Linked DNA regions of Cricetulus griseus. The main gene of each other region encodes a partner of the protein of the gene in region 2 in a complex. Links are inferred from orthologs where the notes say so. Each region holds a gene or a part of one and is shown on either strand. Other genes may lie near its edges. The genes, in order: Polr1h, Taf1b, Rrn3, Polr2k, Polr1b, Polr1c and Taf1d.

The links.
Region 1: Taf1b (region 2) and Polr1h share a complex: the UniProt entries of both Homo sapiens proteins name them as parts of the pol I pre-initiation complex. The link is inferred for Cricetulus griseus from reciprocal best matches to the Homo sapiens genes TAF1B and POLR1H.
Region 3: Taf1b (region 2) and Rrn3 share a complex: the UniProt entries of both Homo sapiens proteins name them as parts of the pol I pre-initiation complex. The link is inferred for Cricetulus griseus from reciprocal best matches to the Homo sapiens genes TAF1B and RRN3.
Region 4: Taf1b (region 2) and Polr2k share a complex: the UniProt entries of both Homo sapiens proteins name them as parts of the pol I pre-initiation complex. The link is inferred for Cricetulus griseus from reciprocal best matches to the Homo sapiens genes TAF1B and POLR2K.
Region 5: Taf1b (region 2) and Polr1b share a complex: the UniProt entries of both Homo sapiens proteins name them as parts of the pol I pre-initiation complex. The link is inferred for Cricetulus griseus from reciprocal best matches to the Homo sapiens genes TAF1B and POLR1B.
Region 6: Taf1b (region 2) and Polr1c share a complex: the UniProt entries of both Homo sapiens proteins name them as parts of the pol I pre-initiation complex. The link is inferred for Cricetulus griseus from reciprocal best matches to the Homo sapiens genes TAF1B and POLR1C.
Region 7: Taf1b (region 2) and Taf1d share a complex: the UniProt entries of both Homo sapiens proteins name them as parts of the transcription factor SL1/TIF-IB complex. The link is inferred for Cricetulus griseus from reciprocal best matches to the Homo sapiens genes TAF1B and TAF1D.

Annotation. Positions count from the first base shown.
Region 1 is NW_023276806.1:228,752,233-228,756,252, forward strand, and holds the start of Polr1h (DNA-directed RNA polymerase I subunit RPA12), read left to right. Parts: upstream 1-1,220; 5' UTR 1,221-1,263; intron 1,264-4,020. UniProt on the Homo sapiens protein: Core component of RNA polymerase I (Pol I), a DNA-dependent RNA polymerase which synthesizes ribosomal RNA precursors using the four ribonucleoside triphosphates as substrates. Can mediate Pol I proofreading of the nascent RNA transcript.
Region 2 is NC_048600.1:27,158,102-27,161,601, reverse strand, and holds part of Taf1b (TATA box-binding protein-associated factor RNA polymerase I subunit B), read left to right. Parts: intron 1-1,249; coding exon 1,250-1,347; intron 1,348-1,747; coding exon 1,748-1,843; intron 1,844-3,500. UniProt on the Homo sapiens protein: Component of RNA polymerase I core factor complex that acts as a GTF2B/TFIIB-like factor and plays a key role in multiple steps during transcription initiation such as pre-initiation complex (PIC) assembly and postpolymerase recruitment events in polymerase I (Pol I) transcription.
Region 3 is NW_023276807.1:74,971,884-74,975,383, reverse strand, and holds part of Rrn3 (RNA polymerase I-specific transcription initiation factor RRN3), read right to left. Parts: coding exon 3,457-3,500; intron 2,368-3,456; coding exon 2,298-2,367; intron 1,553-2,297; coding exon 1,454-1,552; intron 1-1,453. UniProt on the Homo sapiens protein: Required for efficient transcription initiation by RNA polymerase I (Pol I). Required for the formation of the competent pre-initiation complex (PIC).
Region 4 is NC_048603.1:15,288,356-15,292,395, forward strand, and holds the start of Polr2k (DNA-directed RNA polymerases I, II, and III subunit RPABC4), read right to left. Parts: upstream 2,801-4,040; 5' UTR 2,704-2,800; intron 1,629-2,703; 5' UTR 1,620-1,628; coding exon 1,559-1,619; intron 1,009-1,558; coding exon 916-1,008; intron 1-915. UniProt on the Homo sapiens protein: DNA-dependent RNA polymerase catalyzes the transcription of DNA into RNA using the four ribonucleoside triphosphates as substrates.
Region 5 is NC_048599.1:49,464,757-49,468,256, reverse strand, and holds part of Polr1b (DNA-directed RNA polymerase I subunit RPA2), read left to right. Parts: intron 1-448; coding exon 449-581; intron 582-3,500. UniProt on the Homo sapiens protein: Catalytic core component of RNA polymerase I (Pol I), a DNA-dependent RNA polymerase which synthesizes ribosomal RNA precursors using the four ribonucleoside triphosphates as substrates.
Region 6 is NW_023276806.1:255,712,608-255,716,711, reverse strand, and holds the start of Polr1c (DNA-directed RNA polymerases I and III subunit RPAC1), read left to right. Parts: upstream 1-1,304; 5' UTR 1,305-1,396; coding exon 1,397-1,465; intron 1,466-1,580; coding exon 1,581-1,652; intron 1,653-3,865; coding exon 3,866-3,973; intron 3,974-4,057; coding exon 4,058-4,104. Other genes in the region: protein YIPF3, read right to left, coding at 16-122, 263-460, 1,016-1,096. UniProt on the Homo sapiens protein: DNA-dependent RNA polymerase catalyzes the transcription of DNA into RNA using the four ribonucleoside triphosphates as substrates.
Region 7 is NC_048597.1:128,814,693-128,818,830, forward strand, and holds the start of Taf1d (TATA box-binding protein-associated factor RNA polymerase I subunit D), read left to right. Parts: upstream 1-1,338; 5' UTR 1,339-1,628; intron 1,629-2,792; 5' UTR 2,793-2,802; coding exon 2,803-2,873; intron 2,874-3,274; coding exon 3,275-3,650; intron 3,651-4,138. UniProt on the Homo sapiens protein: Component of the transcription factor SL1/TIF-IB complex, which is involved in the assembly of the PIC (preinitiation complex) during RNA polymerase I-dependent transcription.

The DNA.
Region 1 (4,020 bases), on a different chromosome or scaffold from region 2:
CAGGTAATTTGTTTTTAGCACATTCATTTTAAGTTCTATATATCTTCAAGGATGAATTTAAAAACATCAATGAATAAAAGTTCATCCCCACAATGTAACTGCAAATAGTACCACTTAGAAATACATTCTTGGATGCCGGGAGGTGGCTATGAGTGGGAGTACATGAAGCTTTCTGGAGTATGGTGATGTTCCACTTTTCAGCCTGAGTTGTTACGGGGCTTTACTACGAAGCCCACTGTCTTCTGGCTCCAAATGATCCTGTCTAAGCTCTGGGATTACAGGCATTTACCAACCTACCAAGCTTAAAGAAAATGTTTTCTCTCATGCCTCCTGATCTGAGGTCCTAGGCTAGGGGTTTCCTCTAGGACTTCATAATCCTGCATCCTGCTTGGTCCTTTCCTTCCCATAGCTGGAAAATGATGTCCTTGCTCTCAGATCATTTCTCCAGGAATTGGTTCTCACCATTCCATTCTGACTCCTAAGTCTAGCATTTTCACTCTCTTCACTTACTAGAGCAGTGGTTCTCAACCTTCTTGATGCTGTGACCCTTTAGACAGCTCTGGATATTCATGTGGGTGTTTCTGCATGGGCATGAACTCATGTGGAGACTGATAGTGAAGGGACCAGCTTCCCTTTCAGCAGCCATAACAGCCGAACACATGCTTGCCATAACCTTGTCTTGGTCACTTAGAGGTCAGATGCCTGCCTAGTGACAAGGAACCAATCAGAAGTTAGTCACTAGAAAGTCAGATGCCTGCCTCGAGACAAGGAACCAATCAGAAGTTAGCTGGTGGCGCTATACTTTATGACCCAGGGTGTGCTTTATGGATAAGCACTCAGCAATGACGCACAAAGCATAGCAACCACCCTGGGAGGGCCTATGGGCCATAACAACCAGTTGGCCAATCAACACAGGGCAAGCCCTCCAAGGCTGGAGGCACACCAATAGTGAGCCTGTGCATACCCCTAGACACTCCCCTTACGCTGCCCTGTAAGATCTCTTGGGAGACCCTAGGAGCTGTCTTTTGCGAGCCATCTGCCACGGCGGGTGGGTAAAAGACCCGAGCTAACATGGGGTTAGCTTGTTAAATTACAATAAAGCCTCATGCAGTTTGCATCAAGCTCTCGAATCCGCCTGGTGATTGGGGTGACCGAGAATGTGGCCTGGGACCCCGGATACCTGAGTTTTCCGGGGGGTCTAACATTTGGGGGCTCGTCCGCGATTTGCGACCACCCTTCACCTGAATGGATTCGATCTTGGAGGTAAGATGATTCGAGCTCGCAACTTATATGTTCAATGTTATATGTTTGCTTGTTTTTGTTGGTTTGGTGCCACTTGAAATTGCTCTTTTGTTGATCTGAGCCTGCGCAGGACTCGTGATTTGTAATTTGGACTTCAGGGGGAAATAGACATATTTCAAAGTCCCGTCCTGGACAAAAGTCCGAGGGCTATTTGAATTGAACCATAGGGTAAGCAGACGTGCACAGAAATAGACGTATTTCTGGAATCCTTGGTTCCGCCCTGGATGAAGTCCAAGGGTTGTTTGTAATTTTGGTTTGGGGCACCATTTCTTTGCCACAGGGTTTGTCCTGTCTGATGTCCTGTTTTGCTGTTGGTGTCTGTTAAGCCTAGAGGATTGGAATGGGCTGGGTGACTGAACAGTTGAGCAACAGGTTTGTTATCTGTTATCTGATCTGTTGCAGCCCACACCCTAACCGTCTGCTTGTGTGTCAATTTTACTATTTCTGTTAATTTTGTGGATATGGAGGTCCTATGTTGGGGTTTCTGGCGACATCTGTGAGTAGGCCTACAAGAATTGTTTAAGGCGGAAGTTCGGGCGGCAGCCTTCCGAAATCTATAGGGGAGACTTGGTTTCGAACCAAGTTGATCTCCACGGGGCTAGCCATCTGAAATTCCGAATAGGACCCTAGTCTGTGTTAAACATCTCTTTCTGTCCCTACTGCCCATGCACATGGAATGCATGGGTCAGGGGTCTTTTCTTGATGCTCTGAGCACATGATGCCACCTCAACTGTGATCAGCAGATGCGCCCGGAGGACAGACTGCTGCTCTGAGGACACCCAGGAGGTACGAACGGAGGCCAAGGACTTGGATCCTCCTCAGTTAGTGATGATTGTAGCCGCTGGGTTCTGCAGCCCATCTTCCGTCGCCATTGCCTTATAAGCGGCGCGGGCGGATTGGGTTGGCGTCTGTTCTTTCCTGTCTATTCTGTGTTATCATCATTGGTTTTCAATTCAGGATCCACCACACCACCCCCTTTCTATCCCCACCTGCGGGTCTGTGAGGCATGCCAAGTGGGGCTGTTTCTGCCCCAGCTGCCATCCTGCCTGCCAAGGGAGTTTCCCTGCTCTGAGGGAACATGGCTGCAAGGCCCGCCATCTGCCTGGCTGCTCGGCCTTCTCTGTGCTCCACACACATGGTATGCAGGGGGACCGAGGGGGTCTTTATCCCATTATCCCACCCCTGCATTGGCCAAGGGTCTGGGGTTACCACCAACACCCCCACCCCAGGTCTCTGCCTTGAGCACATGGAGCTGGGGCGTATGAACTTATCTGGCCTGATCCGGACTTCTAAAAAAAAAAAAAGGCCTTAAAGTTATTAAAAGTTATTAAAAACTGTAAAAGGGACTTTGATAAAAATTTTTACATTGACTGAGAAATGAGAGAAAATGTAGGAGACTTAAATAATAAAGAGAAAAAGGAAAAAGAAAAATTTGTCTAAGAATGTCTAAGAAAATCAGAGGAAAGAACTATAAAAAGTTATAGAAAGTTAAAGCAAGTCATAGAAGGTCAGAAAAGAGATTATTAAAAGAGAAAAATGTAAACTGTTTGCTATGGTTTCTCATGTCAACAAATAGTAAATTTTAAAAATGGTAATATAAGTTAAAATTTTAACCATATTAAGCTAATTCTGTTTTTAAAAAGTCCTGTTTATTTCTCAAGTAATTTATGTATACTTGTTTTAAAATGTTCTTTTTCCTGGTATAACCTAAGTTCTGTTACAAGCATGTTAAGCAAAGGGTGCAAGTTATGGCCATTTTGTAACCAGCCACATGGCAAACTGGTCACATGGCTGACTGGCAGCCATTTTGCTGAAGTTGAAAAAAGATACTTAAACCGCCATCCTGACTAAAGATGACCGCGTGGAAATTAGAGGTTCCATCTTAGAAACAAGCTTTTCAGTTAAGATTTAAAGTGTTAATGCTTCTATATATTACAGAAAGATATTAAGGGAATTTAAATTTCTTTTTAAAACCAGTTTTTTAAATGTTTATTTTTATTAATGTTTGTACTTAAAGAGCTTCAATTTAAAATTATTTTTAAGCAAAGCCTGACAATGTAAAATTCTTGTTTTATAAAAGCTGCTAATCTATTATAAGATGTTTATCTTTTCAGAAGTTAAGTTTAGGGTGTTGGTGGCACACGCCTTTAATCCCAGCACTCCAGAGGCAGAGGCAGATGGATCTTTTTGAGTTCAAGGCCTGCCTGGTCCAGCATATTGAATTCCAGGACAGGGTCCAAAGCCACAGAAAAACCCTGTCTCATTTGAGCAAGCAGCTAAAATGTGTACTTGTAGCTACTGTTTAAGGACTATAATGTAACCCTATGCAGTCTTAAATTCAGCTGTGCTAAGTTTCAAATATTTTACTAAGTTAAAACCAGTTACAGTCAGGCTGAAAATTAATTACAGAAATGAGACCTCACCTAGCCACCTGTATGTTTCTTGTGTGCTTAAGGTGAAAGACCCCTGCCCCTTAGCCCTTTCTTTCTCAAGTTTGTCTCCTCTTCCTCCTGTCGGCGGCTTCCCCGATCCCCACCCCCGGCGGCTTCCACTTCCCCCGCCACCAGCCGCACGCCCAGCCCGAGAACGAGCACCAGGTGGGCTGGCCCGAGAACGAGCACCAGATGGGCTGGCCCGAGAACGAGCACCAGGTGGGCCGGCACGAGGGCAAACACCAAGTGAGCCGGCCTGGAGCCCGGCCCCTGAGCCCCCGCCCGA
Region 2 (3,500 bases):
GTCTTGAAAAAGCAAAAAAAAAAAAAAAAGAAAAAGATTATTTCAGCTGGGTGTTAGTGGCGCAAGCCTTTAATCCTAGCACTTGGGAGGCAGAGGCAGGCGGATCTCTGTGAGTTCAAGACCAGCCTGGTCTCCAGAGTGAGTGCCAGGATAGGCTCCAAAGCTACACAGAGAAACCCTGTCTCAAAAAACCAAAAAAAAAAAAAAAAAAAAAAAAAAAGATTATTTTATTTCATGTATATGATGTAGGTGTTTGTCTGCATGTATATCTGTGTATCTTGTGTGTGCAGGTACCCTTAAAGGCCAGAGTCCGTGTTGGACCCCCCAGTATTGGAGTTACAGATGGTTGTGACCCACTATTTAGGTGCTGGAAACCAAACCCAGATCTTCTTTGAGAGCAGTCAGGGTTCTTCATTGCTGAACCAGCCTGGTAATGGCTTTTTATAGGCTAAAACCTGATTGATTTTTATTCAATTTTATCAGAGTAAAACTTGATTAATTGTAACTCATATATATAAGTAGTTAAAGTGTGATAGATAATTGAAAATACAATATGTTAAGAAAATGCTAGTTTTGTTAAATACAAATATATCAATTTGGAAATTGATGCAAATATATCATATTGGAAAAAAGAATATAAAGATAGAAACTTTTCACAGCTGGACATGGTAGTGGATGCCTATGCTCCCGGCACTTAGGAGGAAGAGACAGAGGCGGGGAGACGGATACAAGTTTGAAGCCCGCCTGGTCTGCATAGCAAGTTCCAGGCTGGGCAGACTCACACAGTAGGACCATATTTCAAAACAATACAAAACAAAACAAAAACAGACTGGAGAGATGGCTCAACAGTTCAGAGCTTTAACTGCTCTTCCAAAGGACATGGGTTCGGTTCCCAGCACCTATATGGCAGCTCACAACTGCCTGTAACTCCAGTTCCAGGGGGTTTGACACCCTCACAGACATACACACAGGCAAGATAGATAGATAGATAGATAGACAGACAGACAGACAGACAGACAGACAGATAGATAATTTAGAATAAAACAAAGTGTACGTACACACACACACACACACAAAGAAAGAAATAGAGAAAGAAAGGAAGGAGGGAAGGAAAGGAAGAAGGAAAAGGAAGAAAGAGAAAGACTATTTGAGATATAAAAATAGTCTTTTGGCATGTGTAAACAGAAATTGCATTATAAATTAGTAAATTAGAAATATGTGTATCTAAAGCTTGTTATTTGTTCTTTAGAAAAAGGCTGGGATTGGTATGTGTGTGAAGGTTTTCAGTGCATACTATACCACCAGGCAGAAGCCCTGAAGACCCTGGGAGTAGGTGCAGAGCTAAAGGTAAGTCATGAATGTCTAGAAGTTAGCTCCTCATTGTTGGAAGGGGGAGGTTTGAGTGGACCTGAGGAAGAGTCAGCAGGAAGAGCCGGGCTCTGCCCCTGAGTAGAAGTGTCGGCCTGTGTAACTTGTTTTCGTTCTGTGATCCTGATTGTAAAAGGACAGGCTCCATGGTTATCTTTAATGCCTATTCCATCTCCTAACTCCAAGATTATAGGAGTATCTTGAGGTCTGTCTTTAATCTCCAGCACTGAAAAGCAAAGCGAAGCATTTGTTGATTCAGTGTTTCCCATGTGCCCGGTAAAGAGAAGCAGGTGATCTGTGAAGGATGAGCACATGTGGTATAGCTGTGCCTGTGTCATGCCATCATAGAGATTCACCACTTGTTTCCCTCCCACCGCAGAATGAAGTTTTGCACAATCTTTGGAAGCGCTACCTTCAGAAGAGCAAGCAGGCCTATTGTAAAAACCCAGTTCGTACAAGAGGACGGAAAGCCAAGGTGAGCCATGGAGCCTGATGAACAGGAGCAAAATCTGCCTTGTGTGACAGAGATGAAGGTGCTGTTTGTGGCTGCTTGAGTCTGACAGTGGTGCTTGTTTATGGATTGTCAGGGAAGGGGCTCTGGTGCAATCCAGAACAATCCAGACCTTATAATGAACTGTGGCTTTCTTAGTAAACTAGTTGTAACATAAAAGCAATTATAACTCATCTTCCTTTTTTTTTTTAAAGATTTATTTGCTATGTATGTAATGTTCTGTATGCATGTATACCTGCATGCCATTAGAGGGTATCAGATCTCATTAGAGATGGTTGTGAGCCACCATGTGGTTGCTGGGAATTGAGCTTAGAACCTCTGGAAGAGCAGCAAATGCTCTTAACTGCTGAGCCATCTCTCCAGCCCTTATTTTATTTTATCTTCTTTTTGAGTCAGGGTTTCTCTTTGGAGGACTCCTACAACTCACTTTGTAGACTAGGTTGGCCTCAAACTTACAGATATTCTTCTGCCTCTGCCTTCTGAGTGTGGGATTAAAGGTGTACACTACCACCGCCTGGCTTCATCTTCCTTTTTAAAGTTTTTGTTGTTGTTTTTGGTTTTTTTTTGAGTCAGGATTCCACTCCATAGCCCAGGCTAGCCTTGGATTCTGGTAATCCTCCTGCTTCAGCTTTTCAAGTGCTAGGATTACAGCCATCACACCCAGCTCACTTGGAGAACTTTAAGGAATTTCTTCCTTGTTTGCCGTGTTGGGGTCAAATTTACAAGTTAGGAAAGCTCCGTGACTCTGAGCTCTACCCCTAGACTAGAAGAGTGGAGGCTCTCGAGGGACTCCTGTCATGTGGCTATTTAGTTTGTGGGGGTTGTTTGTCTTGTTTGTTGCTTGAATTTTTTACACATGTTATTCCTATTATTATTATTATTATTACTGTTTTTTGAGATGGGACCTTATTATTTATCTCTGGCTGGCCTTAAACTCACAGAAATCCCCTGCCTCTGCCAACCAAGTGCTGTGATTAAAGGAGTGTGCCACTACCCAGCTTACTTTATTTTATTTTGAGATAGGGTCTCATGTATCCCAGGCCAGGCTTGCTTGCTGTGTAGTCAAGGACACCCTTGACTTGCCTCCACCCATGAAGTGCTAGATTGAGAGACAATTACGCATAGAGAACCAAACCAAGGGCTTTGTATATGTCTGGCAAACAGTCTACTAACTGAGCCACGTTCCCTATCCTGACTGTGTCATTCCCTTAACATGACATTCCTGCCTACTTCACCCGGCATTTCCATACCTAGTCCCCTTATAATCTCATCTCAGACACTTTGAAGTGAAGGAAAGTCAGTCAGGCGGCCTATTAGAGCTGCTCTGTCTGTGAGCAGCTTGTTCTGAATTGCTTCAGAAGTGTGCTGTGGTACCTTTTGCTTGGAATAGAGCACAGTCTGCAGAGAATGGTGAGTGTACCAACCACAGGGCTAAGATGAGAGTCTAAGTCCACGTGACTCACGTTTGGTAGAAACTTGGGAGCGTAGCCGAGCACTTCCTTGTTTGGTCAGGTCCACATAGGTCTGTATACAAAGGTCAGTGATCCAGGAGTGAGAATCCCTGGTCAAGATGAAAGGAATAAGTTACAGAGGTGAGCAAAGGAGGCGCCTCTGAGCCTCA
Region 3 (3,500 bases), on a different chromosome or scaffold from region 2:
GGCAGGGCTGGCAGGCAGAGAGAATAAGTAGGAGGAGAAATCTAGGCAAAAGGGAAGAGGGGAGGAGAGAGGGAAAAAGAGAGGGACACGATATACCCAGGGCCACAAGCCAGGCAGACAGCAGGAAAGTAAGATATATTAGAAGAAAGAAGAGGGAGACGGAGCGGAGAGAGAGGAGATGGACAAGTAAAAGCCCCAAAACAAAATGTAGATGAAGAGAAACAGATTAAAATTAGAGCTAAGTCCTCCCTCCAGCCTGAGTGGGGAGGGAAGAAGAGGGAGCTCCTTTTTTTTACTGGACTTTTATGTTATATTCTTCCCTTTTTCTTCCACTCCATTTGGGGCCTGGGGATTTTAGTCACCTCTCCATTTGACCCCCTGGACTATCTTTTCTTTCTCTTGATTCTAACTTGTAAATAAAGAAAACATTGTTGAAAAAAATAAAGAAAAATAAGAGCTAAGGTCGAGAATTCATAACTAGTAAGTCTCTGTGTCATGATGGAAGCTGTTTGATGGCCCAAAAGAAAGCCTGCTACATACTATGTTGTTTGGTTTTTTTAGACAGGTCTCTCTACATTGCCCAGACTGTCCTGGAACTCACTGTGCACCAGGCTGACCTCAAACTCCCAGGGATGCCTCTGCCTGAGTGCTGGGATGAAAGGTTTGCACTACCACACCCAGCTTACTTTACATATTTTAAAGGGATCCATCACCATCTCACAAAGTGCTGCAACATAATGGTGGTGCAAAACACCACATAAAGAAGTTGAAACAGGGGCTGGAGAAATGGCTCAGAGGTTAAGAGCACTGACTGCTCTTCCAGAGGTCCTGAGTTCAATTCCCAGCAACCACATGGTGGCTCACAACCATCCTTTATGAGATCTGGTGCCCTCTTCTGTTGTGCAGATATACATGGAAGCAGAATGTTGTATAGAAAGAAGTTGAAACATTGTAAGGCAAGCCCTTCACCAGTGTACCTAACAGGTGTGATGTGACACTTAAACTGTTTACAATTGTCAGAAAATAGATGAAGTTCAAGCAGTATAACTAGAATGAAGCAAATAACTAGACTGTTTTCCACTGTTGTTATTTGTCCTAGTTTGTATTTTTTCTATTGCTATGAGGAGACACCATGACCATGGCAACTCTTATAAAGAAAACATTTAATCAGAGGTTCAGTCAATTATCATCATGGCAGGGAGCATGGCAGCATGTAGGCAGAAGTGGTGCTAGAGCTGAGACTGCTACATCTTGTAAGCAACAGGAAATCAACTGACTCACTGTGTAGTATCCTGAGTATATGAAAGCCCACCCCCACAGTGACACACTTCCTCCAACAAGGCCATACCCACTCCAACAAAACTGCAACTCCTAGTAGCGCCACTCCCTGAGATTATGGATTTATAATCCATAAATGAAAACAGAGAAAAAATACAGGTGATCCAATACTTACATCTAACTTGAGTAACTTTTCAATAATAAGCTCCAGAATTTCACGCCTCAAAGTTGGAAAATACACACTTATCCTTAGTAAGTTATGAACATAACATTCCTAAAGCATGAGACAGAAGATGAACAATTCAGCTCAGTATTTCAGGATAAGCAAAACATCAATTACACAAGGTTTACTTTAAATACATGAATAGAAAAGGGACTCTTAGTTCAGAAACTACACTGTTCAAATCTACATGTGTTGAGTATAATTAATCTAATCACTCCCAGTAAACATTTCTACTTAGTAATACATTAATACCTCTGCAAACTCTAGCTTTTTGTTTCCCCTTTAATTTATTCAGGGGGGGGGGTGGGAATCAAACCCAGGACCTTATGCATGCTAAGCAAGCACTCTGCCACTGACCTACATCTGCAGCCTCCCTAGTAAGTTTTCAACACAGAAGATGTTTCAGGAAAGGAATCAAGACACCAGGAGCAGTAGCAGCTCACACCTATAATCCCAGCACTTAGGAGGCCTTGAGGCTAGCCTGAGCCACACATTAGGATCCTGTTTCAGGAAATATAATAACAAAAAGAAAAGAATATGAGAGATGTTCTTCACCTTCTCTATTTATTTATTTATTTATTTATTTGAGATGTGGTCTCACACTGTAGCTCAGGCTTGCCTCAAAGTTGCCAAAGACCTCTTGCTTAACCTCCCAAGTGTCAGGATCACAGGCCTACACCACAATGGAGTCTTGAGTTTAAAAATCCAGAAAGGTATTTTTAAGATGATAATAATAGTAATAACAACAACATCTAAAATAAAGTCACAAAACAATTTTCCATGAAAAATTTCTTACCAGTGTTCTCTCTGATTTTCTCACAAATGGAAATTTGTCTACCAATATCGGCATTAGAAACCATGGTGTCCTATTAGAAAAAAAAAAAAATTCAATCCATGTTACTTGGACTTTCTAAGAACAATAAGGATATAAGAGGAAAAAAAGGAACCCTACCTCAAGCAATTAAAGGCCCAAATCAAGGAGTTTCAGAGAAAAAATCTAAAACAACTTACATAAAAATACTCTATTAGCTTTATTAGTAGCAGCACGTCAAAAGAAGGCTTTTCTTCTACCAAAGATTAACAGACTTTAGTTTAAGAACATGTACCAGAAAAAAACAAAAAAGAGCACGTATCAATATATAAGTATATTATTTAAAGAGGCAAAGTATCACTAACTTGGTATTTTTTGATGAAGGCAGGGTCTCATGTAGCCCAGACTAGTATCAAACTGTGTGTAGCCAAGGATAGCCCTGAATGCCTGATCCTCCTGCCTCTACCTTCCCAACTGTTGCGGTTCCACATATACAATACTTTTCCCCAGCTCCATTTTTAGTTAATAAAGGTATCACTGATATTCTATACTGCCAAAGAAACCCTCAAGTCTGCTGCCTTTTGATAACCGAATTTTATCCATATGGCAGTATACATACAGGTTCTCAGTGAAAGTATTTGAATATCACATCTGTTGAAGATAAAAGCAAAACCCCACCTTCTATACAAAATTGAGGTAGAAGCACTATGTGCAAATTAATTACGTTAAATAGTTAAACAGGCCCCACGTGACTCAGAGGGAAGACATTTGCCCCCAGGCCTGGCATCTGAGTTTGAGCTACAGGTATGTGGTAGAATGAAACCTACTAATAGATGTCCTCTAACCAGAACCATGGCACACTTCAACACCTGTGCCTTCACTCACACAAATTAAATCTTTAAATAAATTAATAAAATAATACAAATTAAAATAACAAACATAATGAATAAAAAACAGAAACAATTTTCAACATGTGATATCAATAAAACTGAAATAGCAATACAATGCAGTTTTTGATGCTATAACACTCTGTCATCTACTCTTCCTTCCAAAGCTGTGTGCACACATTACAAGCAGGTGACCTACTAGAACTAAGCCCCAACCTGTTAATAAACATCATAATTCAAAGTCAACAAATACTCACGATGGGACATATCTTGTTATTATTTGCAAGGCTCTATGACATGT
Region 4 (4,040 bases), on a different chromosome or scaffold from region 2:
CTACTTCTAACAAAGAATTCCTGAAAAAACTAAAAACATTTACATAAACCCAAATTGATTAATTTTTTAATTACTTAGAGCCCATAATGAATGGCACGAAAACACTAATCATGTTTACTTAAAAAAAAAAGAGCTGGTGTACAAAAGGACTTTGGGAGCCCATCCCACGTGGAGGGATGCTCTCTCAGCCTGGACACATGGGGGAGGGTCTAGGCCCTATCCCAAACGATATGACAGACTTTGGGGATACCTCATGGAGGGCCTTACCCTCCCTGGGGAGCAGAGGGGGGGATGATGTGGTGAGTTGGTGAAGGGCTAGAGAGAGGAGGGAGCAGGGATTGACAATCGAAGTAGGCTTGTTTCTAATTTGAACTAAAAAAAAAAAAGTAAAATAAAAGCTAAAATCACTTACAGGGTTTTTTAAACACACACACACACACACACACACACTTGGGTCCTTTGTACAGGTGGAGGTCGGAAAAAGGGATCAGACCCCCGAAACTGGAGTTACAGAGGATCATGAGTAATTATGTTGGTGCTAGAAACAGAACACAGGTCCTCTGGAAGAACAGCCGATGCCCTTACCTGCCTGCTGACGAGTCTCTCTAGCCCCTATTTGTTTTTTTTGACACTGAGTCTCACTTAGTAGTTCTAGCTGGCCTTGAACTCACAAAGCTCTGCCTGCCTCTTTTCTCCAAGTTTGGTGAAAAATAATTCATATTAAAATAATATACATTTACGTCCTTCAGAGCCCCCCACATTCTCAGTTAATAAACTCTTCATTAATAAAGTCACATTCAATCTGCTTAGAAAAATAAACAACCCAAAAGTTGCTACTTTTGTCAGAACTTGGTCTTTATCAACCGAGTATTAGTTATTCCTCTTTACGTTTAGAAAGCCCAGTCAGAAGGATACATCTTTTTGTCCTTTTCTTGTACATTATTCTGTATCCACATTCTCTGCATCTGATTGGATCCCTGGACTTTATTTCATTTTCCGTGTGACACTCTAGGGAATAAAACACGTTCAGTCAATGCCTGAAAGAGAAACACTACAGGGAACCAAATATAACCACAGACTTCGCCAGAGCAAGTCAAAGCCCCGAAACTAAATACACCAAGGAGGAAAGAAAAGAGCTGTCGGCAGCGTACCTTTTCCTGATGAAAAGACAAATCTTAACGAGGGACTTTTACATTAATGATGCTAAAGTGTTTCACTTGAACTCGCAGAGATCCCCCTGCCTCTGCCTCCTGAGTGCTCCGCTTTATAACTTTGAAGATCAGTACTCATATATGGAAAGTTGAGGTAAAATGTTCCTACTTAAGCAGGGCATTGGTGGCACATACCTTTAATCCCAGCACTAGGGAGGCAGAGGCAGGGGGATCTCTGTGAGTTGGAGACCAGCCTGGTGTACAGAGTGAGTTCCAGGATAGGCTCCAAAGCCACAGAAAAACCCTGTTTCAAAAAAACAAAACAAAAGCAAAAAAAAAAAAAAGCCAAACAAACCAAAAAACCAAAACAACAACAAAAAACGTTCCTACTTAAATGTTAATCTTACCTCCGCAAATATATATCATCGGCTGCTGCTTTGGGGGTTGGACGTCTTTCTGCGCGTCCATTGCTAGTGCCTGAAATCAGAGCCAAAGCTTGAATAACAAGATCATCACACAAAACCAACCAGGCTCCCTTTTCCCCAGCAGCTACGCAAGGTCCTGATTCCGGGGTGAAGAGAAAATCTCAGGTGTAGAATGTTTGCCCAGAACACAGCGGCTCGAGGATCAAACCCCAGTATTACAGAATGAGGGGGAAAAAAATCATAATTCCTTATTTGAAACCCCCCCTTCCCCACCAACTGTGGGCTGGGTCTGAAGGAGGAAACACATTCTCAACAACACAGAATCCATCTCGAAGGTCTACGACACTCTTGAAGGTGCCAGAGGGCATCACTCTTTACACTCGGGGAAACCGAGGCTAAGCACAGCTCTCTGTGTGCCCAGCGTCTCCCGACACTAAGAAGCAAAGGGGGGGGGGGCTGGAGAGATGGCTCAGAGGTTAAGAGCACCGGTTGCTCCTCCTGAGTTCAATTCCCAGCACACACATAGCAGCTCACAACTGTGTGCAACCCCAGTTCCAGGGCACCCAGCTGACATCCATGCAAAATACCCAATGCACAAAAAATAAAAATAAACTTAGAAACCCTGTCTCGAAAAACCAAACAACAAATAAACTAAAAAAAAAAAAAACCCACAAAAATCCGCTAACTCCGCCGGGGATCTTGTCATAAATCATTTTTTAAATTTATTTTATTTTATGTGCGTTGGTGTGAGGGTGTCAGGTCCCCTGGAACTGGAGTTGCAGACAGCTGTGAGCTGCCATGTGGGTGCTGGGAATTGAACCCGGGACCTCTGGAGGAGCAATCGGCGCTCTTAACCTCTGAGCCGCCCCTCCAGCCCAGTCACCGACCATTTATTTACGTTTATTTGGCTCTTTGAGAGGCTCCCCACTTGGTAGCCCAGGCTGGCCCGGAACTCACTTCATCGCCCAAGCCAACCCCAAAGCCCGGGCGTCCGTCTGCTGAAGGCGGCAGTCCCCTGCCTCCGTTTCCCGAGCGCCCAGGCGGCGTGGAGCCAGCTCTCCCGGGCACCCGGGAACTTTCTAAAACCTTCTAAAGCCAGTTTTTTTGCCCTCAGACCGATCTCTCACCTCCGCGGCTCCAAGCAGAGTCTCGGTACGCACACAAACGTTCCCCCGCGTCCTCAGTGACGGACTCACTACCGGCGCGGACCGCGCGCTTCCGGCGCTGCCTAATGACGCGCAGGAGCCCCGCCCCCGCCCCGTCCCCTCCGCCGCCGAGAGCCCGGGCTGGGCACAGGCGACGGCGGAAGCCGAAAGCAGCTCTCGCTCCGGCGGCGGTCGCGGGTTCGAGACTCGGGCTCGTCGCCATTTGCTCGTCGCCATTTGCTCGTCGCCGTTTGCACAGGGTTCTCTTTTGTTTGGCTGCCCTTCAGCGCGCGGCTCTCCCCCAGGCCCCGGAGATGTCAATTAAAAATACTTTTTTTCAGGACCGTTGGCTTAGCTCGGTGGCTCGCAGGGGTGAATCTTCAGGAAAACGGTCGCTTGAGCTGCTTCCTCCGCACACAGCCCAGCAGCCTGTTAAACGCTCGCCCTCAGCCACGCTACAAAGTCTCCCCAATCCTAGGGCGGTCAGGTGTGTCTGCCGGGCTAAGCCCCGGCTGTAGAGAAAGGGTGGTGTGGCTTCTCACTTGCTAGTGAAAGACTTAAAAATTAGCAAAGAAATATAGCCCAGATAAGGAAACTCTCCAAACTGAATGTAGGGCGGCCTAACTCGGAAACTAAGGCCACTATTAGGACTTAGGGCCTGGAATTTACCAGCCGCAAGCAATTACTCCCTTACAAGGCCATAATATAACTGGGTACCAAGAATTCCCAGATGGCCACCCTCCCCGAGGGGCTCATGAAAAAAACAGATTGCCCCACCGGCCAATGTGTCAATCATTAACAATTAAGTGTCCCTGTGAAACAAAGAGATAGGTACCATTTGCTCAAGCAAGCTAAGCATATCCTGAGGTCTGCAGGTTTTACAGCTGGTGGGTCAGGAGGCCATCTGATTCCCAGCCCTCTCCTCAAGACAAAGGGTCTCTTAGGCACCTGTGACTCTGGTCACACCCCTCCCTAAGCTTGTGGTTTTTGCCTTTAAAAAGGCCTGTGCCTGGGGGACGGGGCTGCTCTCTAGCCTGCATGCTGAGAGAGCCCCTTCGTACAAACGTCTACCTTTCATTAAAGCCTCTTGCTGTTTGCATCAAGTTTCCGACTCCTCATGATGATTGGGATGGCCGCAGTCCTGGGAAAGGATTCTGGAGGCCTGAGCTTCCAGGGGGCTTACATTAGACGTCTGAGATTTTAAGATTTCGTTGTTTCTTTGTTTTGTGTTTTTGGTTTTTTCGAGACAGGATTTCTCTGTAGCTTTGGAGTCTGTCCTGGCACTCACTCTGGAGACCAGGCTGGCCTCGAACTCACAG
Region 5 (3,500 bases), on a different chromosome or scaffold from region 2:
GGTATCAAGCAGTTAGCAGCACACTCTTTATTATTAAACGTATTTTCCTGTGTTTATCTAGTCCAGATTTCTAGTCAGCAAAGCTTCCATGCAGTCAACTTTTTTTTTTTTTTAAACTTACCATTTTTATCTTTAGATTTTGGAATAAGTTTTGTTTCAATGGTGGTTGGAAATTGGAATAATTTGGGACAGAGAGACTAGTTTAACTAGTCTAGTTACAAGTCTAGAGACTGTCTAGTTAGAAGGAGTGGCCCTGTTTTCCTGCCTTCCTGTTCTGTGTCTATTGGACTCCGGTTGTGTATCTGACGAGACTTTCTGGAACCTGTACTGTTTCTAGAGATGGGGCGTCCCTTTCACCAATGTGTACCTCTTCATGTGGCTAGAAATAGCTTTGTGTTTACTTTGTCATATACTTTAGTTTAACAGATAATAACCCTGTCTTTGGCAGGAAATGGGAGGTTATTTTATAATCAATGGCATTGAAAAAGTCATCCGAATGTTGATTATGCCTCGGAGAAATTTCCCCATTGCGATGATAAGACCAAAGTGGAAAAGCAGAGGGCTTGGCTACACTCATTTCGGTAAGTTTCAGTGAACATTAGGATGTTGTTTTGGACAACTTGAAAACCATTTTTTAAAGTAGATACAACTATATACAATCTTTTTCCTTTCTCCTCCTCTTCTTTTTTTTTTGTTTGTTTGTTTGTTTTTGTTTTGTTTTTTTGGTGTGGTGGGGGTTGTTAAGACAGGGCTTCTTTGTGTAGCCTTTGCTGTCCTGGAACTGGAACTCATTCTGTAGACCAGCTATCCTCAAACTCACAGAGACCTATCTACCTCCCCGAGTACTGGGATTAAAGGAGTGTGCCACCACTGCCTGGGCTGACTGTACACTATACAGTCTTTAATGTGTTTCTCTTACATGATTTTTATTTGTTTTGCCATAAGCATTCTGTAAGATTCGGGGTGGTGTTGGTTGGGGAAGTATTGATCAAAGTATAGACTTTAAGTTTTGGGCCAAGTACGGGGCTGGGACATGGTTCAGTGGGGAGGTGCTTTCTACAGAGGCATGAGGGATTGAGTCCCCATCACCTACATCTAAAAACAGGAACAGAAGGGTATGGAAGTACACATCTGTAATCTTAGCACCGGAGGGGAGGGAACAGCGGTTCCAGCCAGTTTAGCCAAGAAGAAAGTTCCAGGTTCAGTGAGAGACCCTGTCTCAAAAGAAGCAATTAAGGAAGACATCTGGACACACTCACACACACACACACACACACACACACACACACACACTCTCTCTCTCTCTCTCTCTCTCTCTCTCTCTCTCTCTCTCTCCCTGTGCTTTCAAGGTGGAGAGTACTTCCACCACACATGTGTGAACACACATGTATACTATCTAATGCTAGTGTATAGCACTATGAATGATATCGTTAATAATACTGTGTTAATTATTTAAAATTGGAAAATGGAGTGGATTTTTAAGTGTGTTGATCCCGTATACACGTACATGCACATTTGGTAACTAACTATATGTGGTAATTGATGTTTTAATCAATTTGGTTATGGTAATTGTTATGCAATACCTAATAAACCTGTAGTAAATAGAGAGTACTGTACATTAAAAATGCACTTAGAGGGGCTGGAGAGATGGCTCAGCAGTTTAAAAGCACAGATTTGTCTTCCAAAGAACCTGAGTTCAATCCCCAGCATCCATGTTGGGCAGCTCACAACTGCCTGTACTCCAGCTCCAGAGCTTGACACTTCTGACCTCTGTGGTCATCTGCCCACATGGGAACACATGCACACATATAAGCACACATAATTTAAGATAAATAAAAAAATTTTGTTTAATTTTTAAAAGATGCACTTAGAGCCAAGTATGGTGTTTCACTGAGGCAGGTGGATCTCTGAGATTGAGGGCAGCCTGTTCTACACTGTGAATTCCAGTACAGAACAGTCAGTGCTACATAATAGACCATATCTCAAAAAACAAATTATGTAGAGGCAGGGACTGGTTTGGTGGTAGAGTGCTTTGTAGGTAGAGTTTTTCTGTCCCACAGCCACCCTCAAATAAACATATGAGGCTTATATTAATTATAACTGTTGGACTCATAGCTCAGGCTTATTACTAACCAGCTCTTACAACTTAAATTAACCCATTCTATCAATCTACATTTTGCTATGTGGCTTTTACCTCTATCCCATTTTGAGTATCTGATTCATTCAGCATCTGGCTGATGACTTCCTTCTTCCTCCCAGCATTCTCTCTGTCTCAGGCTCATTCACCCAATCTCTTCCTGCCTATCTATTGGCCAGTCAGCTTTTTATTGACAATGAGAGCATTACATATTTACAATGTACAAAGATTGCTTTACAGCTTGTCTAACCTGCAGAAGTTTCTGGGCTCATGCTTGATGCCACAGAAGTAACAGTGGAGTCAGTGCGCTAACCTGCAAACATAGTAGCTTAGCTTGGCAAGCCTAACTATGCTAGAATACTTATTAACACATTAGCATGCACTTTGGAAAAATCACCTAAAACAAAGCCTGTTTTATGAGCAAGTGTTGATCATCTTGTGCTCATACACAGATTGGCTTTTTGTACACTTGATGAGCTATGAAAACACTGTATTCAAAAACATTGGCACCCCAGGATGTTGACGACTATAATTTGTTTTCCTTTTTGTTCTCCTGGCTGGTTGGGAGCTATGGCTCACTGCTGCTGTCCCAACATTATGAGAAAATACACAGCATTGTTAGCCTAGGGAAAGGTCTCAATTCAAAAAGTGAAATGTAATTTCTAGTGAATGGACATGGCTTATGCACCCTGGTGAAGCTGAAAAATTGCAAGTGGCTGGTGGTAAAGTTGGTGCCATTGTCTGTGTATACCGAATCACTTTAATATGTATAGTGTTTATTACCTAAGAAAAGGAAATATACCCAGAAAGTGATTTCATAGTGAGAACCTTTGTCTGTTTTTAGTCTGGATGACTTCATGTAGTTCTGGTATTGCTTTTGAGGATGAAGGCTGACTTGACTTAGCACTTGTGTCCAAAGACATGTTGGGTCCCCTGGTTTAGACTGCCTTGGCACACCCTCAGGGGACTGGCCTGTGTTCGATGCCTGTGACAGTGCCTGGCATTGTAAGATAGCATATGGCTTCTCTATTAACTTCTGTAATATTATACAATGTATCATTTATAATTGAGATAAAAATCAGACTTTAGTAGTTGCCATGGATACAGCACCTAGGAGAACAGTATCTCAGCATGTCAAAACATGTAGTCATTGGTTCTTTTGCTTTGTTGATGTGAAGTTTGAGTTCTGCTGTTCTCCATCAGGGTGTTAGGTGAGTGACCATCTCTTGACCAGTCCCATATGGTTAGTGTGCATAGGACGTGCGCTCTGCAGGGTGATCCAAGTATAAGGTGTTATGGGACCCAGCTGATGGTAAACTTGGTCAAATTCAGAGCTTCACCCATTTCACAGTGTACCCCAGAA
Region 6 (4,104 bases), on a different chromosome or scaffold from region 2:
GAGAAGACTCCTCACCTGCTTCGGACCTGAGCAGGCTCCACATCAAAGTAGGGTCTCAGGATGTCGATGTTGGCATACAAGCTGAAGGCTCTGGAAGCTTGTCTCTTCCCTGCCTGCCACATCTGAAGGGAGATGGGTATTATGAAACTGGTGGCTCTAGACTGTTAACGTTACACAGCCTTTGCCAGATTTCTGTGTGGTTCTCCCTGGAAAACCTACGTCACCTTGGGACACACATGGGTCCACTTTCCCATCTGCTTACCTGATCAGCCACCTGTCGGCTCAGCTGTCCCTTAAAGCCTTTCATGCCCAGAAACTCGCCATCCTCCTCTTCTGCAGCAGCTGCGTCGGCATCCACTTCTTCCTCACGCAGGCGCTGATGCAGCTCCCCCATGTCCTCGAAGCTGGAGCCTGACGTGTCATCCATGTTCTCCATGTCAATCACGGCCGAGCCCCCGCCCTGTGAAGACAAAGGCTGCTAGAGAGCGGGGCCTTCTGTTGCACCCTTCTGCTCTCTGCTCATCGCACGGTTTGAGGCTTTGCTCTCCCACTGATGAGGACATTGGAATTGCTACCCATCGTGCCAAACTCCTCCTTGTCACTGCTGGCACAACTCTTGTCGCCACACTTTTGTGGTTCAGAAAACACACTACTCATCTTCAATTCACGTTGTTTTCCTACCTTCCCCCTCAAAGCTTCGAAGTGCTGCACCGGGGCCGACCTGCCGCCACCCACCTTCAAGCAAGCCTATGTGCACACAGGCCACCTTTAGGGGCTCCAGGGAATCAATCCTACCCTCTAGCCCTGCACCTGCCTGACCCAGACAGGCCGCCCAGCCACGGAGACCCGAGGCCCGCTGCAGCCTCGGCCTGGCCCTTCCTCCTCAGCACAAGCGCTACAGACCTGGGCGTGGGAGACTCAGCGGCCACCACTTGCAATGGAGCCGACTTCCAGGCCGCGAGAGGGGACGGCGGCCAGCCCGGGGGCTGCCGGCAGCCGGGACACCGCTCCATACCTGGATGTTTTCTTCGAAGCCTCCCCACTCCGGGCCAGCTCCGTTTCGGACGCCGCTGGCCGGCGCCGCGGGAGTCGCCATGTCCCTCGAGGCTTTCCGTCGCTGAAGCTCGCGGGCGTGGGACCAGCGTGAGACCCGGGCCGGAGAGAAGGAGGAAACGTCCAGGAAAGAGAGAGGGCGAGGTAGTATCAGCCGGAATGCAAACAGGAGAAACCCGGATGTTTGGCCCCAATTGACGTCCGGAAGTGAAGGACGTGGACGGGGCGGGGCAGGATATCGCGACATTTATAAGTTCAGGAGGCGGGGCGTTGCCAGGGAGACGGCAACGGGCCCCTAGTACGCCTGCGCGCACCGGAGGCGTCTCGAGGCGGGTGGTGGACGATGGCGGCGGCCCAGGCCGTGGAGGAGATGCGGACGCGCGTGGTTCTGGGAGAGTTCGGGGTTCGCAACGTGAGCTCGGAGCGGAACTCGGGAGGGTCGGGGGCGGGATGGGGGAGGAGGAGGGGAGGGGACCTGGCTTGCGGCTTGTCCTCACCGCCCCGCTGAACACATCTGTTGGCTCTAGGTCCACACCACCGACTTCCCCGGTAACTACTCGGGTTACGACGACGCCTGGGACCAGGACCGCTTCGAGAAGGTGGGTGCGCGGGAGGTGTCCCGGCGGCCCGGGGACCAGACGGCTCACGCTCGCCGCGTTCCAAAAACGTGTGCTGAGCCATCCATGTGCTGGGTGCTGGGTGGCCAGGCCGCCCGGGTGGGGTGAAGGCCCACGTGATCAAGGGATCCCGGTGAAACACAAGAGCGGCGAGCACGGCCGGGGTGCGGGAGAGGAATCCCGTAGGTGACTTAATCCGGTCCGTCGGAGAGACGGAGACTCGGGTCAGTGAAGGAAGACTGGCCAACAGTTAGGCCGTGCAGGCCTAATTGGAGCATTGTTGCAAACGCTTGTTTGCGCAGAGCCTGCTCCAGCAGTTCATTATCGCCAGATGTCAATACATTGGCCCGAGTGGTAGACAAGACCGGGGTCTATCTTTTTCTCTTTGAAAATTTATTTGTATTTTATGTACATTGGTGTTTTGTCCGAATCTATGTGAGGGTGTCGGATCCTGTTGTCAGTTACAGTGTTGAGTGCTGGAAATTTAAACTCGCGTCCCTGATTGGGGTGTTATCTTAAGCTCTGCAAGTTAATAGAGAGCTCTGTTGTTTTTTTTTTTTCGAGACAGGGTTTCTCTGGGTATCCCTGGCTGTCATGAAACTAGCCTTTCTGCCTCCTGAGCGCTGAGATTAATAGCATGAGCTACCTCGCCTGGCTTAAAGAGAATTTTTCAGTAGACTGATCTAATTTTGTAACCTTCATAGCTGGGAGGGAATGAATAAATTCCACTGGTAGTGGAAATGGAGCAAAAGGAGAACTAACAGCTATGTACCATATAGCTTTGGTGAGGGGTGTGTGTGTGTGTGTGTGAAAAAGGGCCTTGTGATGTGGGGAATTTAAGGAGTTTTTTTTTTGGGGGGGGGGTTATGTGTTTACCTGCATGTATATTTGTGCATTTGTGTGACTGGTGACCCAGGGAGGTCTAGTTAGGTCCCCAGAACTGGAGTTATGCATGGTTATGAACCACAGTGTGGGTGCTGGGAACCAAACCCAGTTCTTTTTCTTTTTTCTTTTTTTTTCTTCTGTTTTTCGAGACAGGGTTTCTCTGTGGCTTTGGAGGCTGTCCTGGAAGTAGCTCTTGTAGACCAGGCTGGTCTCGAACTCACAGAGATCCTCCTGCCTCTGCCTCCCGAGTGCTGGGATTAAAGGCGTGCGCCACCCAACGCCCGGCCAAACCCAGTTCTTCTGTAAGAGCAGTCAAATGCTCTTAACTGCTGAGCCATCTCGTCAGCTCCATTAGGGAAGTGTCTTGATGGCTGATTGTGTCAGTTGATAAACAGGAGAAAAAGAGTGATAATATGTTCAAATTCCTGTATGTGAAGTCTGTAGGTCAAGTGAATGATGCCTGAAGTGAGATCAAAATGAACCCAAGTTTGGGGAGTTGCTGAGTAGTTGCTTAAGCCAGGAGTGTGATTGAGGTCAGCCAAGAGATTTGAACCTGGGAGAAAGTAACATTTACAGGGTGAGAGGAAGAATTTAGAATATCAGATAAGAGAACTAAATTGGTGTTCAAAAGTCAAGGGAGTAGAATTTGAAAAAAGAGGGATTGAAAAATAAAAACAAATGCAGGACTAACTTGTCTAAGCAGTGTGGGACGTTCTGCTCTTCAGTGTAGCAGCTTCTGTGGGTTGTTTTTGTGGAGCCATATTGCCTAGGGTCTTTTTTGGGGAGAGGGCGGGGGTTGAGACAGGATGTAGCTTTGGAGCCTATCCTGGCACTCCATCTGTAGACAAGGCTGGCCTGGAACTCACAGAGATCTGCCTGTGTCCCCCTCCCCCCCACGCGCGCGCGCCCAGTGCTGGGATTAAAGGTGTGCACCACCAATGCCCGGCTTTGCTTAGGGTCTTAGTGATGTACACCTTTGATCCTAGTCCATAGAAGATAGGTAAGTATTCCTGTGAGTTCGAGGCCATTGTGGTTTACATAGATAGTTCCAGAAATGCTAGGGCAAGGTAGGGAGACCCCCCCTTATTTTTTAATTTAAAAAAGAAAGAAAACCAGCCAGGCTTCTTACAAAACTCAAGAACAGGGCTGAAGACAAAAGTCTAGTGATCATCTGGTCACAGGAAGGCTTTAGGATGAGAGAGGGTGGACATACATGGAGGGACATTGCCAGGGTGGGAGTAATCACAGAGGGAGGCTTGAATTACACAAGAGAAACAGGTGTTCCATCAGTTTTTTCTCTATCCCTCTAGAATTTCCGTGTGGATGTTGTTCATATGGATGAAAATACACTGGAGTTCGACATGGTGGGAATTGATGCTGCCATTGCTAATGCTTTCCGGAGAATTCTGTTAGCTGAGGTAAAAGAAGACGTGTGGGTCTCTTATTTCCAGGTAGGGAGATCAGTTGGTGTTGCAGTTGGATGATTCTGCTTTTTTGAACAGGTGCCAACAATGGCAGTGGAAAAGGTTCTGGTTTATAATAACACATC
Region 7 (4,138 bases), on a different chromosome or scaffold from region 2:
CCCGAACACTCAGTTGGTTGCTGGCTGGCTAATAAAGTTTTTCTATTGGCTTTTAACCTATGTCTGAACACTCTTCTCTGGTGAACGCCCCACAACAATTCTGCTCATTAAGTTCTTTTCTTTTTTCAAGACAGTTTCCTGGAACTCACTCTGTAGACCAGATTGGCCTTGACTCATTGATATCTGCCTGCCTCTGCCTCCCAAGTGCTGGGATTAAAGGCCTAGAAGCTCATTAAGGTTTTTTTATTTTTTTATTTTTGGTTTTTTGAGACAGGGTTTCTCTGTGTAGCTTGTGCTGGCCTCCAACTCACAGAGATTCGCCTGCCTCTGCCTCCAGAGTGTTAGGATAAAGAGTGAGGTGAACCTTGGCAGGTTTCATGGCGGGCGAGGTTGACCGAGGCCAAGGGACAAACATTCCAGGCAGACAGCTTAAATGAAGTTTTATTAGGAAGAGGCAGGCCAGCATAATGCCTGATCCTTACACCCAGTGCTGGGATTAAGGGCATGAGTCACCACCGCCTGGCAGTACACAACATAAAGATGGTAAAACTTGTATTAATAATTCTAAATTTTCCTTACTTATGGGGAAAACATAGTCTAGGCTGGCCTGGCAATCCTCCTTCAGACTCTCCAGTTCTGCGATTTGCCACAGTTCTCAGCTATTTGTCACTTTCGTTTTGAACAGGACCCTGCAATTTAAGTTTGCACTGGTCCTGAATGTGACAGTCTGAGATGCCTGTCTTAGAGCTTACAGCGAATGCACTGGCTGCTTGCAAGTACAGCAAGACCTTACTTTTAAGGCGTGTCCAATCATAAATGATAACAACTGTTGACTAAGGGCAAGCAGATCTGCTGGCTTGCTTGTCATACAATACAAAGGTGCAGCATGGAAAATAACTCAAAGCAGCTCACTACTGAAAAGAAAGTACTGTAGGGCTAAAAACTGTTTAGCCCTACACTGTTGAGTCAACTCAGGATCTGAAGGAGGAAGCCCATGCCTGCTGGAAGCTAACTCCTGAAGGGTGGGGTGCCCAAAGCACCTGGCACCCTTCCTCTGAGGGGGAACTCCGCACACAGTGGGCTCGGCCCCACAACATGCGGACGCTCACCTGACCCGCAGTGTCTTCACGCCTGCAGGAATGCCTTCTTCCCTTCACCTACCCAAGTTCAACGTCCTGCTCCCTTCCGCCAGCTCAAAGCCTAGGGGCGAGCCCGGTACCGCCTCTCGCGGAGGCCCCGCCCACTCCACAGTCCACGCACATAGCCACGCCTAGCACGTAGCCGCGCTCTCGTACCCACCCGCCGCTAAGAGCTCACGCGAGATCTCGGCCTGCCCTAGTCGGCTGCTGCGAGCTGGAACGTTCTTTTGGTCGCGGTGGAGGAGGGAGACGGGTGTGTTTGCGTTGGGCGCTCGGGTCTGGCGCGATCGGTCGGTGCGGGACTCGGAGACCGCGCGCGGGCCCGGGCTCTTTGGGCGGCTGTCCGCGCGCAGTCGGCGCTGTTGTCGGGTGAGGCGCAGCGGGCCACGCGTGGCTCCCGGTCGCTATCGGTCGCTGCCGGAAGGTTTTAGAGTGTCCCGTCGGGGCATTGTGCTGGTGCTGCCTTCCTAGGTCGAGAAGACCGCACAGGTAGGACTGATTTCTAGATAGGTTCCTCGTGTGTACTTGGCCATTACCCTTAGAATTTTCTCCGCTCTATCGTTGGTGCAAACGGGCCAAGTATGTTACGTTGCAATTTTGATGGGCTAATACTAAAAAACAATGGGGAATGGAGAAATGGCTCTACAGCTAAGAGCACCAGCTGCTCTATCAGGGGACGTGGGTTCAATTCCTAGCAGCCACGTGGTAGTTCACAACCATTTGTAATGGGCTCTGGTTCCTATTTCTGGTATGGGTGAAACCAATGCACTATCCGTAAAATAAGTCCCCTTTTAAAGGAAAAAAGTTAATAACCCGGGAGGTGGTGGTGCATTTCTTTAATTACAGCACTCAGGAGGAAGGCGGATCTTGAGTTCGAGGCCCCGCCTGCCTCTACCTCCTGGGGTTAAAGGCGCGCACCACCACCTGGCCAGTTGCGGCCCCTTTAAAGCTGCCTTGTGGGTGCTGGGAATTTAATCTGTCCACTCAAGAGCAGTCAGTATTCTTAAAGCTAAGCCATCTCTTCAGCTGACTCACCCTAGAGGTTCTATTGTTGGGATTACAGGCCCATTGGCCATTCGGGAAATTGAGGCATACACACTGAGTGGCTAAAAATTCAGCCTTCCTAGGGTAAACATCCGAATTAATGCTGTTTCACTGTGTGGCTGGCTGGTAGTAAAGCCACTCAGGTACTTTTGTTAAGTAGAATTAGAAAACACTGATTTGGAAAGTGGTCTCTCCTTTGCTTTCACTTGTAGATTAGAATTGAATGTGTGGGTATCCAGGAAGCCAGAAACATGCCATGTTGAAGTTGTGAGCTACCCAATGTGAGTGCTGGGAACTGAACTGTGGAAGGTTACACTTTAACTGCTGTGCTCCTCACGTGGATATTTTTTTTTTTAAGACAAGGTTTTTCTATATTGAATTAGAGCCTGTCCTGAAACTAACCTGGAACTCACAGGTCTGCCTGCCTCTGCCTCCCAAATGGCTGGGATTAAAGGCGTGCACCACCAACAGCTGGCTCACTTGGATGTTTTTAAAGATCTAAAGTGGACTATCCTTAGGTCGATTTTACCTAAAGTCACATGGTGGTATGGTGTATGTTGAACTTTTCATTAGAATGCTAGGTGCATCACACTGAAATTGTAATTGCAGAGATCGAGTAATGGCTCAATCAGAAGTGACTTCTGTTGACTGCATGACACCTGATAGAGCTGCAGACATTGGACATCAAAGGTAAGGCAGCTTTTGTGACTAAACACCCTAGAGTTGAGTCTAACTGTTCAGATTGACAGGTCTCAGTAGGTGGCCTCATTCAAAGATGATCCTGCCTATTTCTCCCAAGAGCTGGAATTAAAGGCTTATCACCACACCCATTTGAAAATGTTGGGTATGATTTTGGGGGAGCTGGCTTTGGAAGAAATGTACACTTAAATTTTTAATGTCTTCTCTTATGTGACTTATGAGTGAGTGCTTTGCCTACAGTCAGTATCATGTGTTCAGAAGAGGGTGTTGAACTCCATGAAACTTGAGTTACTAATGACCATGCTGCCTGAGGGTACAGCCTTGCCACTCGTGAATTGGATTGTTTCTAGTAACGACTCAGTGATGCAGTTTATTTTATTTTATTTTTTTAGCGATGACTCATCTGATAGCTTATTTAAAACACAGTACGTTCTTTCACCTACACGAAAGCAAAGAAACCCTACGACAAAACGTGTCACTTTACCTGCAAATGTTGACACTGACACATCAAGTGACTCCTCTATAGAACCAAGGCTTTTGACTTTAAAGGCTATTTTTGAAAGATTTAAGAAAAAGAAACGGAAAAAAAGGAAATACAAGCCAAAATTAAGACCAAGAGGAAGACCACCTGGAATAAAAAATGCTAGAAACCCTAGAAGGTCACAGATAGGTGTGAAGCAAATTAAAAACAAAGGAGCTGTGTTTCCATTCTTAGAATCTGAAAATGGAAGAAAACCCTTACCTTGGAAGAAAATTTTAACATATGAGGTGAGTCATTCTCATGTAAGTGAATACACTAGGAAATTGGAATGATTGTTGCCCCCATCTTTTCTTCCTGGTTTTTCCAGACATAGTTTCTCTGGGTTTGGGTGTTGTTGGCCATTTTTAATTTGAGGTCCACCTGGGACACATTTTGTTACTTTGACAATAAACAATGTGTTCTGTGTAAAGTCTGCTCAGGTTCCAGTGTTTCTGAGTGCACTGTTTTTAGTGTGTATACAAACTTAGAGAATAATGGTCCAAGTCTGTAAATGTACAAAATACCCTCATCTTAGTCTCTAAACTACTCTCAAGCATATCTTACCCAACTTTAAATTAAGTAGCCCATCAAACCAGTCATTTCAAAGTAAGCAGATGTTATTTCGTTCTTTTTATTTTTTATGTCATTTACTTTTTTGGGGGGGTGTTTCGATACAGGGTTTTCTGTGTAGCTTTGGAGCCTATCCTGGCACTCCTTTGGAGACCAGGGTGGCCTC